Linked DNA regions of Pelodiscus sinensis. The protein of the gene in region 2 interacts with the protein of the main gene of each other region in a biochemical or structural test. Links are inferred from orthologs where the notes say so. Each region holds a gene or a part of one and is shown on either strand. Other genes may lie near its edges. The genes, in order: AHR, ESR1 and TBP.

The links.
Region 1: the proteins of ESR1 (region 2) and AHR form a complex in vitro, tested with the Homo sapiens proteins (4 studies listed by BioGRID, with this or other methods). The link is inferred for Pelodiscus sinensis from reciprocal best matches to the Homo sapiens genes ESR1 and AHR.
Region 3: the proteins of ESR1 (region 2) and TBP form a complex in vitro, tested with the Homo sapiens proteins (2 studies listed by BioGRID). The link is inferred for Pelodiscus sinensis from reciprocal best matches to the Homo sapiens genes ESR1 and TBP.

What each region holds. Positions count from the first base shown.
Region 1 is NC_134712.1:202,993,751-202,999,058, forward strand, and holds the start of AHR (aryl hydrocarbon receptor), read right to left. Parts: upstream 2,960-5,308; 5' UTR 2,550-2,959; coding exon 2,494-2,549; intron 1-2,493. UniProt on the Homo sapiens protein: Ligand-activated transcription factor that enables cells to adapt to changing conditions by sensing compounds from the environment, diet, microbiome and cellular metabolism, and which plays important roles in development, immunity and cancer.
Region 2 is NC_134713.1:107,791,508-107,796,815, reverse strand, and holds the start of ESR1 (estrogen receptor), read right to left. Parts: upstream 3,689-5,308; 5' UTR 3,616-3,688; coding exon 3,591-3,615; intron 1-3,590.
Region 3 is NC_134713.1:122,268,316-122,273,623, reverse strand, and holds the start of TBP (TATA-box-binding protein), read right to left. Parts: upstream 3,192-5,308; 5' UTR 2,769-3,191; intron 2,264-2,768; exon of another isoform or gene 2,112-2,263; intron 1-2,111. Other genes in the region: PSMB1 (proteasome subunit beta type-1), read left to right, coding at 3,380-3,480, 4,702-4,809. UniProt on the Homo sapiens protein: The TFIID basal transcription factor complex plays a major role in the initiation of RNA polymerase II (Pol II)-dependent transcription.

The DNA.
Region 1 (5,308 bases), on a different chromosome or scaffold from region 2:
AACCCTCAGGCCTGCAGATACAGTGTTGCCCACAGCTGCTATCAGAATATAGATAAAAAGGCAGTATAAAATTAAACAAAGAAAGGGAAATAAATAAGTAAAGGTAGACTGAACAAACAAAATAATCTTACATAAGTTATTTGTCAATCCATCTGGATAGTAAATAATACATATAACTGTTTTTTAAACACGTTATAAGCCAATACAAAATTATGACTAGATTAAAAACAAAAATATTTAATATTTAAAAAGGTTTATTTTCCCTTTTAGTCCTAAAAAAAGGGAGCTCTTTTATGACAAAGACACCTCAAGACTAATTTTTTTAATTTAATTTCCACTCATATGTTGATTTACATAACAAAGAGTCTTCAGATTCAAATATGGTAAGTGTTGCAAATTAGAATAAAGAATATAAAATACTAAGCAACTTTAGGATCAGACATTTTTATATGAAGGTATAAAAATACTGTAGAAACAGTTTTCAGATCTGATTAGAATTTATTAGCAAACAAAGCATTAAGACCTCTGGTCAAAAAGAGCGAATAGCTATACAACAGATCCTTAAATCAAGATTTGTGTGTGCTTTAAAGGATTAGTCAAGAAAGTATGTAAACAGAGCTGGAAAGTTATTTGCAGTAGGGCAGGTGCTACTGCGCTTGCGCATAACTGTAGGAAAAGTAAGTATTTCCTATATACTTCTATATCTTGAAACAGGGTAAGTATTTCCTATATACTTGTATATCTTGAAATAGGGCAACTATTTCTCTCTAAATTATAGATTTATATTGCTTAACAGTTCTATAACTTCTATATTTTAGCTTGGAAGTGACTAGCCGCATTTACATTAAGTAATTTACTGACACTTCTGCAGAGTTTTGGTAGAAATCATCATATACATTGCTTTTCACTGATTAATTCACTCCACAAACATAACAGAATTTCACTTAAAGCAAAATATCCATGTATAGAAATATTTCAATAGCAGCTGCTGTGGTTGAATATGCATTCAACTGATCCAAAACAGGGAGCTGAATGATATAAAGGAATTTGCTTACTCAAGTATGTTAGAAGTAGTTGTCTTTTCCCCCTCATCAGCTCAGTAGATTACTTCATAAATTTGTGGTTAATTTATGCATCTTTATGTAGTAGATAAATGTGAAAGTTAACAATTTCCTTTAAAATTAATTTCAGATTAAAGGAATCTGCTAGTGAATCAGGTACAGCCTTGGGCCCAATCCTGTCTATACTTGTGTAATAAAACTAGCTTTACTCAGGCAACCAAATAATAATTTTATTTTTTTTAAGATGCGGCAATAGTTTCTGATTTTTATGTTTGCTTGGCATTAAATGAATATAAATTATAATGGCAAAATAAAAAAACTTTAGGAAAAAACTATTTAAATATTCCCAAAACAGGATGACATGATTACACATGATCTATTGTCATGTCCCAAGCACCTTGTCAGAGACATCCACTTTCAGAAACCATCACTCTAGATATATTACATTTTAGGGGGTGGCAGGTAGTGGATCTAAAGTATAAGACTTCATACAGAGTGTAAGTGATTAGTTAAAAGTCACAGTACCAGACAAAATACAGGACTATGTAACACTTTAAAGACTAACAAGATGGTTTATTAGATGATGAGCTTTCGTGGGCCAGACCCACTTTCTCAGATCACCAGAAAGGACACCAGAAAGTACCAGACAAATACACTGCAGCAGTGACTTGTAACCTACACACATATCCAAGTGGGGACGAGAAGGGGCAGCCGTGCACCCAACACAACTACACATACACTCGCCGCAGCGCAGCTAAGCAAAACAAGAAATTGCTCCATCACTGTGACCAACAGGACTTTTTTTTTAAAACTGCATGTGTCGTTTAATTACGTTTTCACAACTAGTTGAACTGGTGGGAGCTCGGGTAGCCATCGCTAGGGACAGCCACCTTAAATGCTTCCTAGTCTAGGTCAGGTAACCCAGCCACATTGAACCTAAAGTCATTTCTTCTTCCTTCCTTCCTCCCCTCCCCCGCACCCAAGTCCTCATTCTCCCTTTTAATCACCATCCTTACACAACTGGGTCATCGGTGCCTGTTCACAACAGGACTCTGAACGTAACTAGCTACAGACTTCCCTGTTGGGGGAGGAGGCTGAAAAGGGGACCTCCCGGAGCCCCACGACTAGTCACGCCTACGCCCAGCGTTGTGGCAAGGGGGCCCCAAAGCCGCCGAGAGGGGAAAAAAGCCCCGCAAAAGCGCACCAGGCACTGCAGCAAACGGCCCCCGGGTAACCCCTGCCTGCGGTGCTGCAATCCCCCAGCTCCCGAGGCCCAAGCGCAGCGGGCTGCAGACTCCCACACGGCGCTGGGGGAGCGGGGAGCCGCTGCGGGGGGCGCAGCCAGGGGCCGGTTTGGGTGAGCCACTGACAGCCCCGCTAGGGCCAGGAGCTTCCCCCCGCCGCCCCTGCTCCGCCCAAGCTCGTCTCTTACATTTTCTGCACCGGCTTCCGCCGCTTGCGACTGGCGTAGGTGACATTGGGGTTCATCCTGCCGCCGCGGCTCCCCGCACCGCAGCCGCGAGTCCCCGGCGAACCCGCTCGGCGCCGCAGCCCGCAGCCGCCCGGCCCTGCCCTGCCCGTCTGCAGCGCGCCGAGCGCGGCTCCGCTCGGCCGAAGGAAGGCGGGAGCCCAGGTGATCAGCGCCGGCGACACCCACCAACCCGCTGCGGCCCCGGGGACAGGTGCGGGGGCGGCCGGGGCTTTCCAGATCCCCCTGCCCGGCAGCGGCGGCTTCTCCTGGCGGGGCAGATGGAGGCCGAGCCAGCAGCGCGCCCCGAGGCTGCCGCTGCAGGGTGCGACGATGCTTCTGCCCCGGTGCGGCCGCCGCGGGCCAGGCAAACGTCTGCCACAGTCCGCCGCCCCCGGCCGCTGCCGCCGCGGTCGCAGAGCCAGCCACCCAGCAGCCCGGCCCCTGCTCTCCACGCCCCGCGGGGGGAGGCTCCGGCGGCGGCCTACGTGAGGGAGCCGCCTGCGCCGCCATGTTGGGAAGGTCAGGCCCGCGGACATGCCCCGAGAGCCGCCTCCCGCTAGGAACAGCCCGCCCCGCACGCAGCTGGACGCCGCCTCGCTAGCGCCGCCAGCAAGGACAATGACCCGGCCCCGGACCTTCCGACAGGCCCCGGCGCTGCTCGCGTCCGGGCACCGCCCGTAGCTCCACAGCAGCGTGAGCAGCCGCCGCAGGGAGGCAGGAGCGGGGTGCTGGTGGGGCCTGGGCCTGCTCTGAGTCCTGCGGTGCGGGGGAAGGAGGGTGGCTCGTGCTCTCCCCTCAGCCCATGATTTCCCCTGTTTCGTTCGGGGTGTCAGAGGCGCAATCAGCCGTTGTGGCTTTACATTTTTAAAGGAAAAACAAAATTATTGCAAGCGATACGGGCTGCTAAAGCGCTCCTCCGTCTTGCTGTTCAGGCACAATTGTGCCCTTTCGTTAAGGGCTGTGAAACAATGAAATCCTGTCATGGTTAAGTGTGAGATTTAAAAGAAATAATTATTGGCGGTTTGTCATACTGTTACATGATCCATGTATTCTACTGGTGTTTATTTATGTTTACATTTGCAGAGATTTCAATTGCATAATGTACAGTGCTCATTCTATATTTTTATTTGCACTGTAAAAAGATAATTGTATTTTTCAGTTCATCTCATACAAGTACTGTAGTGCAGTGTCTTTATTGCAAAAATAATTCCACTATTCCATTAATTCCACTAAATTGCACTATTGTTTTACATAACTGCACTCTAAAATAAAATATTAACATGTCATCTGATAGGGTGGCTGAAGTATGAAGAGGCATATAAATATTTAGCAAGTCTGGCATGTAAATTTACCTTGCAACATTGCCTTCAAAGAATCTCTGTTCTCACTTTCAGGTGGCATTGTAAATAAGCAGGCAGCATTATCCCCCATAAATGTGAAACTTTGTCTTAGCCAATTGCTAACAAGAAGTTAGGACTGACTGAGTGGACTTGTACGTTTTTTAAGATTGACCTTGTTTTGTTTTTGAGTGTAGTTATGTAACTAGAAAATTCTACATTTGCAAACCACTTTCATGATGAAGGAACTGCACTATAGTAGTTGTATGAAGTGAATTGAAAAATACTATTTCTTTATCTTTTTACAGGGCAAATATCTTAAATACAAAATAATATAAAGTGAGCACTATTCACTTTGTATTGTGTTGTAATTGAAATGAATGTTTGAAAGTATAGAAAGGCATCAGATATTTATAATATATTCCAGCTGGTATTCTTGTTTAACAATGTGATGAAAATGGTGACTAATTGCTATATTTTTTTTAAAATCAAGTTATTTCTCTTGACTTAATCACAATAAACTCAAGCAATTAACAGTTCTAACTGCCTATTTTTTCTTCTCCCTTCTACATATTCATTTGAAGAGAAGGCCAATTGATAGGCAAGGATGACAAATAGGGGTAGCTCAGTGTGCAGCAATGCATAGGATTGACTAAAGTAATTGATTAAAGTAATTCAGATCAGCAAGGTTCTTTTCCCCCAAGTAATAATACAGTTTGTCAAAACTCAGCCAGTGGCAGCAGTCTCTAACTAAAAAGCAAATTATATACAAGTCTGTGCTAAAATAAAAACCCTGCTTACTTGCAGTGAAAGAAAAGGACCCAATCTTGCTCCCATTGAAATCACCTGCACAGTTCTCATTGGTTTCCAGGGAAGCATGGGCCTCCAAAAGAGAAATGAATTAAAGAGAAACATATTTTTCTTGCTTTTAGGTTTCCCCAGCACTGTTCATTTTAGAGTTCTCTACTTCAGCCACAAGGAGTGAGAAACTGAGGCAGTGTCTTTGGTGTTGCTTACAGGAGCTTGCCAGAGTGTAAGGATTAAAACAATTGGTAACCCCATCTGCATATTTGTTCTGGGGTTATTAAAACCAACACAGGATTCTGCAAATCTTTCTGTTTGGGTTTGCTGATAGATATAATTAACGATAGTGCATATATTAATATGCTAAGAGTAATTATGCTGTGTAATTGCTAAGAGAATAGTTTAGTGTTTATGCAAATCAGACAGCAAGAATCAACAAACACATGGAACTCTATAACTGCAAAGCTGTACAGTTAAGCTTCAGTAATTCTAAAGCTTCCCTGCAGCTGATTGTCATTACAATATTTGTTCAGTATTGATAGTATGCTCAATTCAGTACAAAACAGAAGGTGATAATAGTCCTTGTACTGAGGAAATTGCAATCTGAATAGCACAAAACATTCTGGTCAATTATC
Region 2 (5,308 bases):
TGAGAAGTGCTTCCTCTATTCCTTTCCTAGCTCTCAGTGTTTCTTCTGCTAGCTCCTGCAGTCCTTGTTTCATGCATGTTCCTTGCTGCAATAAGCGATTATATTCAAATACGGTACCATGGCAGCATGCATGAAGTGTGTGTGTAGGTTGATTGTCTTGCCCCACTTTTTCTGCTCACCCTCTGCCTATAAAGGACCAATCTCAACCACAATCCTTTCTCCCCCTGTATATCTTTATATTCTCTCTGGTCCCCCGTCTCTTTCCTCTCCCCACCATCTTGACTGTCTTCTGAGAATGGTGCATGTTACTGTTCAGAGACAGCTGGACACCTATTCCTTTCTATGAGCTGCCTCTGTTCGCAGCCCTGGGTGGCACAGCAGGGCTGAGGGACTCAGTAGCAATGGGAAGGGATAGGCAAGAGAAACTGGTTGCCTCAGCAGAAGCCCAGAAGTACTCTCTAGTAGCCAGGAGGAGGAGCTGAAGGAACACTTTGCTCATTATCTGCTGCACTGCTTATGAGTGACATCTCGGCTGGCTGGAGTGAGACAGTATCAGCATAGATACCTGTGATGTTCATTCCACATGAGTGGCATTTTTCAAGTTTAAGTGAGGTGAAACCAAGAACAGAGGACAGAACATGAGGGAAAGGAAAATATTTTAGAGTTCATGCACACGTCACCTGATCCTACTCCCACTGAATTTATGGTATGGTCTAATCTCACAGCTGCAATTTTTTTTTTTTGTCTGTTTGTTTTCTAATGAAATTTTAAGTAACAGTGGAGGAGAATGGATAAGTAGCAAAGAAATTAAAATAGCAGAAAACAAGGAAGCAAGACATAAATGATAACAGATCCTCCAATTACTTACCTTTTATTTGTGATTTGTATACTGCATTATATTGCTGTTTCATGGGGAAATTGCCATATTTCTTTTAATTTGGGGGCAGGCAAGAAAGTGCTGAGATTCCACTGGGCTGAATAAGTAGAGCCATAATATTGTATAGCTGCTAATGGGACTTGTCTCGCTATTCTGGGCATGTTAATGTTAGGCCCCTGCTATGGTAAGAGCTGACACCTCCTAGAACAGGGCTACTCAACTTTGGAAGCCCCGGGGGCCACATGCTGAGGGCCACAACTTAAGTGTGGCTGTATATACATGCAAATATATATGCAAATATATGCAAATAGCTCCTTTCACACTGATGAGCATGAATACAAAGATTAAGGTAATACTACACAATGCACAGGCCCCATTTGAGTCAGTTCTGCTGATATTAATAAAATGCAATATTTACCTGATTTCCACCCATATGACAGCACTTTTAATGAGCAATGACAGTCCAGGAATTTAACTGCTAAAACACATATCAACAGAAGACCATTATATTGACTACTTTTTTGTTTTGGCTCCCATCCATTGGCCACGTATTGAGCCCCACGTAAACCCAAACTGTGCCAGACAGCACAAACAAATGGGCTTCAGGCCGCATGTGGCCTGCAGGCTGCGTGTTGAGTAGCCCTGTCCTACAAAATGCAGATCATCCTCAGTTCCTATGGAAGTCAGTGGGAGTTAAGGGCACTGAACACCAGGGAGGAATTGCTCAGGATCTTGAAGGAACAGTTTGATTTGGTTAAATACAATTAGAAATATATTTTAAAATTTTATGAACAGACATAGTTGCTTAAATGGCAAAAACTGAATACATTCCCCTTCCCAGCCTGTTCAACTTTGACACAAAGGTGTTACAATAAATTACAATTGTTCCTGACTTCGCACTCAAAATATTAGTAACTTTGCTTCCTGATGTTCACTCAAATAGTCTGTTTTGATTTTGTTTTCATTTCTGAATATCATGCACTAGCACGTGGCTGTTGTATTTGGGTTCTCAACACCACAGAGTGGAATATTTAAATAGAACAGATATCTGAATACATTGCTATCTTTCATCACATATATTGAAATGAAGGGCTGGATTAAAAAGGCAATGTTCCTCACCTATTTTTTTCCTTATTCTAAAACCTTCCATTTGTGTATGATGTCTGCTTTGTAGCTTTTGACAAGAACTCTAGTTGATCCCTTTTTCTTTACTATCTTGATGTTTCCATTTAGATTTATAAAATTTTGGGTTTATTGTTTTGGATCTTAATAAAACACCATATAAAACAACCTCTTTTCATTTAAATTTAAACAATGAGAAAATTCTATTCATATTAAGTCTGAGAATTTTCATCTTAAAAAAGAAAAAAAAATCCAAAAATTATGAGACAAACAGCCAGTTAAACAGAACTAAAATGTACAGAGACACGTTTTCTGCAGTACAGTATAGAAAAAATACTAAGAGATATGTTCATGCTTCTTATCTCTTTTCTTCTGTGAAACTGGTTCATTACATTTACTTGAGAGATGCCTTATGATTAAGTATATATCACAGCTATGCAAAAATAAATACATAAATAAAGTAACAGAAGCTCTCATGGAGGCCTTTTACCTAAAAGGGCTGCAACATGGGATGGGGCCTGATATAAAGCCCACTGAAGTCAATAAAAAGATGCCAGTTAACTTCAGTGGGTGTTGGATCAGGCTCTCACTACCAAGTTTACCTTCAAATTCTATGCAAAACCTGAAACTAATTTTCAAAATGAAAATAGTCCTTCAAAGATTATCTGTAAACTTCAAAAAGTGTGTTGAAATAATAAAGTAGTCACAGCAAAATGCTATATACATATGTGCCATGCGGGAAAACAAATATGTATCATCTCAGAAAAAAAAGTTCACAATGTGAAAAGAAGGCTCAAAATAATTAAGAGATAGTCTTTGCTTATTAAGCTGTTAATTTTGTGCCAGAAATCCTATTAAAGGAAAAGCTGGTACTCAGATAAAGACCCTCTGTTTGAGAACGGGTTAAAGAATGTACCCATAATTGAAAAGAAAGAGAAAAATATTGTTATATTTACTATTTAAATATCATATCCTGTAAATAGATTTCAGCATCTATTAGGATCAAAATGTAATATTTACATTCATTAAAGGGTACAATGTAGCCTTTGTGATTCATGAAAGTAATAAATTCATCACCCACGAAAGATGCTGTATTCCTTCTCTTTATAGATATCTACAGTATTGTGTCTTTGAAATGAATTTATTGAACCTTTTAATTATTCAGTTTAATGCAACTGGTTGAGACAGGCTCAAGAGAGCTAATAATTTCATTTATAACTGTTCTCCTAGCTGATCAGTTTTGGCTGAAAGACTCATGTGACTATGTCTGGAGCTTGAGCACAGGGTAATTTTTAGGCTATGGCAGATTTAATGCTAAATAATACTGAATAAGAGATTTTCACTGTACACTTATTCCATACTTAATGACAACATTTGGAATGCATTCCCTTGTTTTTTGCTGCTTTTTGCTGGACACGGAAAACAAAGAGACAGTAAATAAAATTGACGTTAGAAAAAGAGTTACAATAATACTTGTAAGCATTCCCATGGGCACCATGAGGTGTGCGCAGCAATGTTTTGAGTAAAAACAACATGTAAAAGTGAGCATGAGGGAAAGAAACTGAAAAAACTGAGAGCTATTTTCACTTACATTTATCCAAGAAGGCTGTTGGCATTACTTCTGGAGTGCTGTAATTGGCTGAGAAGGTCACATGACCCCCCTGAACTAAAATAGAAACTCTTCGGTAGAGGGAAACTGAAGCAGCAACAGGTCTGAGACAAAATACATGTTAAATTATATAGCACACATATTTCAGACTGGAGTGTTTAATTTCTAGGGAAAGTACAGTAAACTTCCGATAATCCGTCCGACCCAGGGGGTGCCAGATTATCAGCTATGCCGGACTATCGGAAGGGGGGGCTATGAGGGGTTTAGGGTGGGGTGGGGGGGATGCCACCCCAGACCCCTCATAGCCCCCCCTTCTAATAGTCCGGCTCTGCCCCAGGCGTCCCCAATTCAGCCGCTGCTGGTCAGTTTCAGCAGCAGCTGAATTGGGACACCTGCAGCAGAGCAGCTAGGGTGCTGCCGGGTTGGTCCGGTAGCACTGCCCCTTGGCGCTGCAAGATCAACCCGGCAGCACCTCAGTTGCTCTTGGGGTCATCTGGGGCTGAGCAGCTGGGGTGCTGCCAGGTTGGTTCCACAGCACCAAGGGGTGGCGCTACTGGACCAACCCAGCAACACCCCAGATGCTCTGCCCTAGGCGTCCCCAAGTCAGCCGTCGCTGAAACTAACAAGCGACTGACTCCGGGAAGCCCGAGGCAGAGCTGCTCTGCCCCTGGCTTCCTGGAGTCAGCCGCTGGTCAGTTTCAGCAGCAGCTGAATCGGGGATAGCTGGCGTGCTGCTGGGTTGGTCCCGCAGCGCTGAGGGGCAGCACTACAGGACCTACTGGCAGCACTCCAGCTGCTCTGCCCCCGGCTTCCCTGATTCAGCCGCTGGTCAGCTTCAGTAGCGGCTGAATCAGGGAAGCCAGGGGCAGAGCAGCTCCAATGGTCCGGCTGCCTGGAGCACTTCCGGGTTCCTGATGGTGCCGGACCATCAGGAGTGCCAGACCATCAGATGCCGGACCAATGGAGTTTTACTGTATTGTCCATTGGTTTGAAAAGGTGATCTCCAGTAGGCCAGATTACCCTTAGACTATGACTTTGATATTCCCAATATCACTCTTCTTTTCAACCCATGGGGGAAACAGTTTTCTACTATAAATTTCAGCTCACATCAGTGTATAATTGCAACTAGTGATCGCATTAACAATTTTTAAAAAATTACCAAGATCTTTTTAAAAATAGGATCTGGTTAATTTAAGCACCAAAAAAGCTTCTACTATTCTAGCTGTTTTCATTCTCTGTCTAAGGTTTTATTAACTCAGTCATATTTCTGGTATCGAAAAAGGAAGTCATAAGAAAAATAAGTATTTTCTTGAGGTAATTGACTGCACTATACAACATATGCAGCAGAGCAGTCCAGTTTTCACATTCTTTCATAAGTAAAACTTATGGTTACAAAACTACAAATTACTAAAACATGTGCCATAAATCTGCAAGTTATAAATAAAGATAAAGTGCAAAAGATCCCAAACTAACAAACTGTACTGATTCCTAACAGCTAAATGCAGATTACTTATTTTGATAAAACACTGTCTGATTTCAAGGTTAATGCTTAATTGCAACATTCAAAAAAGCAGCTTTTCCAGACACTTCATTTGAAAAGATTTAGGCAGATAATGCAATGACACAGTAGTATGAATTACTACAAATCACCTAGGTAACTTTCACATCAGGAAACTTCTTTACAATTTACTCAGGTTTCT
Region 3 (5,308 bases), about 14 Mb from region 2:
GGCCAGCGGGAAGTCCCGCTGACTGGGCTGCACGCAGGTGCCAGGTTTGAAATGTTCAAGAGTCCTCGGGGGTGGGGGGGGGGGGGGGGGAGAGGAGGGAGCTCTTGGGCATTTCAAAGTGGTAGGGCAGCATAGAGCCTGGGATCAATGGGGAACTCAGAACCCCTGCTGATCCCAGGCTTTATGCTACCCTGCCACTTTGAAATGCCATGCGGAGCTGGGATCTCCCCAGCTGACCATGGGTTCAGTGCAGCATGACCCAGGGTTCCGGGGGAAGCTGGGTACTACCCAGCTGATCCTGGGTTCTGGGGAAATGCAGTGCTGTAGTCCCCAGTTGACTCCAGGCTCCACACGCAGCAGCGCAGCACAGCTGAGCTGAGGATCTGCTGTGTAGCTGTCCCTTTGCAGCAGTCAAAGGGGCAGCCCCAAGCAGCAGGGCTGCACAGCTAATCCCGGGTTCAGCTGTGCGGTGTAGCTGCTTTGAAGTACCGTCCACTCTCACCCCCTTTGTTGCCTCTATCTGATAGAGGAAGAAAGTGTGGGGGGGAATCATTTAGTCGTTTTCTTATTGGATAGTCGACTAGTCTTTAACATACCTAGTAACAACACTGAAGCTAAGAATAGGTGATCTTTTATGTGATCACAAAATATATTACCACTACACTTATTCATAAAGCTACCATCCATAAAGTATCCAACACTATGTGTTTTGGCAGGGAGAATTATCCAAGTGAAAAGGACCAAATACAACACTACCCTCCCCCCAACAGATAAACATGCCTCCCATAGCACTGCAACTTTAAAATGACAGAACATTTTCAGAAGTGTAGTCTAAATACCAAGGATTCCTGGGTCTGCATAAGTAGAAAGACTAGATAAAAATCTTGCCACACAGTGTAAGTATGGTCTGTTTTGATTTTAGCTACTTTTGTGCAAGGAACAAATTCCACAAGCAAGGGATTTCTGAGGACATCCTGGCTTCAGCATCACTAAGCTTCCCCCAATACTACTATGCATGATTACTAATAATGTATATGAAACTATAACAAGAGGAGCAATTTAAACATGAATGGAACATATGTATTTGTTGAGAGCCTGAACCAATACAGTACTTCTATAGAAAGAATATCCCACTAACTTCAATGGGAGGTTTGGCTATGTAATAAACTTAGTAATTGCATAGCACTTTTAATTTTCAAAGCACTTAACACTAACCTTTATAACAACCACCTAACAACAAACATACTTATGTTACCCCAAACTTGCAAAACCGTAACAAGACTCAATTTGTCTGCCTTTTCAATATGAGGACGATCATATAAACACCCCAGGATATATTATTTAGCTAACAAATCACTCATTTCTTCAAGCTATGCTATTTGGTGACCCTAATTTTCCAACACTGCACTGCTCCCATTTTGCAGATGGGGGAGGAGACAAGGCAGTTTAGTGACTTGCCCAACATCACACCAAGAGAGTCAGCGTCACGGTGCAAATCAGACCGGCGGTGGCCGGAACACTACGGTGATCAGCTTCCCCAGCTACCCTGAGCCCTTCAAGGCCCCCCAGCCTCTCTCCAACTCCGCTACGCAAACCGAAAGGCTCAAGAAGGCCTGAGCCCCAGAGAAACGCAGAGAAAGCGCTGCCGCTTCTCTTTGCCGTAGAAGGGGTTTATACGGGGCAGCGCTTCTCCGACAAGCCCCAGACACGTCGCGCTCCGCTCGGGGAACGCGCTTGTGCCGGGGGCCATGAGAGCTCGGCTCCGCGCGGCGCGGCCGGGCAGGCTCCCGGGGCAGCGGGAAGGGGCCGAGCCTGGTCCCGGGCCGCTCCGCACTAGGCGAGGCCGTTGGAGGAGACGCGGCCGCGGGGCAGGGCGGGAGCCGGGTGCGCTGCCCGCGCGGGGCCCGCAGGCGGGAGCAGCCGGGCGAAGGGGCAGGCCCGGGACGGCGAGCGCCAGGCGGCGGCTGCCGGAGCCTGCCCGGGACGGGGAGGGAGACGCGCCCGCAGCCCCGGGAGCGGCGCCAGGACCCCGCTCGCTGGAGCCGCCCCCGGGCCGGGCCCCGCCGCTGCCTCGCGGCCCGGAGGCTCCGCCCGGTTGAGCGGCTCGGTACCTGCCGCTCCAGTTCCCTCCAGGCGCCGCACAGACCCGGCGGTGGCGGCGACCCCACCTGCAGCCCGGCCTCTCCTCCTCCGGCGCGCGCATAACGCGTCACTTCCGCCAGGAACTCCCGCTCTCCCTTTTCCGCAGTGGCCATTTTGAGTGAGGGCAAAGCCAAGAAGCGTGGGGCGGGACGGAGAAGCCAAGCCCAAGGAAAGCGCCGATCAGTGTGTCACGGGCGCGGGCGCCACTGGGGTTGTAGATTGAACCCAGTGCCCACAAATAAAACTCAACAACGCGAAAACCATCCGCTGCAGATTCCCACAGCCCCGGGATGCAGCGCAGCCCGCAGCGATTGCAATCCCTGCCCCCACCCCATGCCTGCTTTTCGTCACCAACTTCCACTGCCCTAGAGAGCCAGGCCTGGACAGAGTTGCCACCTCTGAGGAACAAAATAGGGGGCAATGCGGGATGATCTGTAGCCTGTGAAACCGGACAGCTGCCTAGCAGTGTGTCCTGAGCACCCAGCCTACAGATTGCTTGGGGCAGCCACGATCCAGTGAAAAGCTGGACAGAGGGGAGCCAAAGTAATGAGGGGAAGTCACACAATCTCGATTTATGCAGATTTAGTTTCTGGGCGGTTCAAAAGGCAGCCTCCGTGCTATTGTACCTGCTTTAAAGGAGGAGAAAATGATAAAACTCTGTCCTCGATGCCACACGCTGCTCCGCACTAGCCCTCCAGCAAGGCAGCCTGCAGGATGGCGGCCTCTGCTTTTATGCTTCTTTTAAAAATGATCTGCACTGCAAGCAGGCTCCAGTTGCTGCATGTGCTGACCAGTTTTCCAGGACTAGTGCCTTTCTGTAGCAACTCAACACTCCAGATTACTTTTGTTTTCAGTTTAAAAATCATGTAAATGCAGGTTTCATCGGGAGTGTAAATTAATCCAGTTGATGCTGCTTTGGGTGGCTGTTTCTTTCTCTAATCCGACAACTGGCCATGATTTCGTGTAACTGTCTTGAAAGCCTTGGTCGCACGATCCCTTCCAGCTCCCTGCTAAACCCCCTGCTTCCTCTTGGCTTTTACTCCCACACAAACGTTCACTCCTCCCGCCTGCGGGGGGCGCATCCGGCGCCGGGCCAAGCCGAGCGCGGGGCAGACGAGATCGGGCCAAGGTGAGGCTAGAGCGGACGCTGCTGGCGAAGGGAGAAGTTCCGGTTCCGGCGCCGCCATTTTGCCGTGAGACAGCAGCCGCCCGCCGGCTCCCAAGCGCGCGCGCCAGGATGTTGTCCACAGCCGGCTACGCGGAGCCTCGGCCCGGGATGGGGCAGCAGCTCGGCGGCCCCGCGCAGCACCGGTTCTCCCCCTACACCTTCAACGGCGGGTAACGAGCCGGGCCCGCCCCGGGGCCCTCAGCCCCGCCGCTTTCGCTTTCTCTTCCCCCGCCCCCGGACCCCGCAGGGGAGCGCACAGACACCCCGGGGCTTCCCCGCCCCCTGCGCTTCCGGAGCGGCTTTGCCTCGGGAGGCGGGATGAAAGGACCCTCCTGTAACGGGGGCTCGGGGCAGCGCGTCGCTTTGCGTTCGGCCCAAGCGGCCGCGCCCCTGCCCCAAGCTCTGGGCCCCGCACGACGCCAGCCTGGGACGCCCCCGCAGCGCCTGTTGCGTGTCCGTGGAAAGGCTGCTGTTAAGAAAAGCAGCTTTGGAAACCGCTTTTCTAACGGCGCCCTGCAGAGCAAAGGGATGTTAGACGTGGGGGAGCAGTTGTGTAACCACATGAAATCTTTGCTGCAGCCCCACTCCCCAGGAAGCCCCCTGCCACCTCATGATGCTGCTGCCTCTGTCTCAGAGGCAGCAGTGCTGGGTGGCAGGTGGGAGCCAGTTAAAAAAACAGCTCCGGGAGCTGCCTGCCACTGTGACTGATCGACAGAGGCAGCAGTGTGGGGTAGAAGCAGCCCCTGTCTGTTGGGGTCCAAGTTCCCTGCAAACAGGCTGTTGTGGGGATGGGGAGAGCTGCTATGAAGCAGCCTCTGTCCTTGGCAGCTGAGACAACACGGTAAGAGGAAGGTGGCACTGCAGAGCCAGTGCTAAAGGGGCCTACCTTCAAATCAGGTCCCCTCCTGTGGCAGCTAGTGCTTCCCCCCCCCCCCCACTCCTGCTGCCTCAGAATATTCAAAGCTTGTCCACCACCACAGACTAGGGATGTTAAAATGAGGGTAATTGGGTAACAGTGTAACCACTGAAAATCTCAGCAGTTACATGCAACTACAGTATGATACAACAGCCAAAAGCTGGCTTTCTAAGACGGTTCCCAGCATGTGCCAGTTCCCACCTGCAGCCCAGCTTTTGGTGAGCTGGCTGCCACCCCTGTGCTTCTGCCTCTGATGGAGAGTGGCAGCTGCCTCCCAAAGAGCGGGCAGAAACCTGTGTGTAACGGAACAGTAACAGATTAGCCCAGAGTCACTGGTTAACTGTTAACCGTTTACATGATTATGCCTTTACATCCCTAATATATAGACATGAAGCTGCTAGGGTGAAGATGTTTTTTTTAGGTCTAGAAATCTTGATTATATAATGATTATAAATTAGTCCTCATTTTCTTTAAGCACTGTGCTGGCGATTGCTGGAGAAGATTTTTCTATTGTTGCCTCAGACACACGACTGAGTGAAGGTTACGCAATTCACAGCAGGGACAGTCCAAAATGCTATAAACTGTAAGTTTTAATCTTATTGTATGGCATCCTTGGAAGATTGAATGACTAGCATTTTCATTTGTTGCCCTAGAAAAACATTCCAGTAAGATAGGAAGTGCATTTGTAAGGGTTTGTTTTGGCTTCTGTTGTGATGCTGTTAATGAGATCAAGTTTCTTAGTTTGTGTTTTGTTGCTTGAATTTCACTGACACCTGAAGTTTTTGGTTTCCTAATTGTAGCAGCACTCATGAGTTGTCATGACTAGCTTTGCCTATTCCTGACACTGAGTAGTTGGAGCCACTGTGATACCTTTGACTGTATAGCAAATACATTAATGGTCTATTATTTCAATAGACCATGTGGCACTTCAGAGCTTCCTCTCAGAGATCAGCAGTAAACTTGTCAGCAGTTCCTCTATCAATCTTCTTCCATATTATTCCTGTACTTCCTTCAGTCCACCTGGATAATTTTTCCCCTTAAACTTTATCATTACATGCATTTAAAGGAGGCACGTGCCTCTG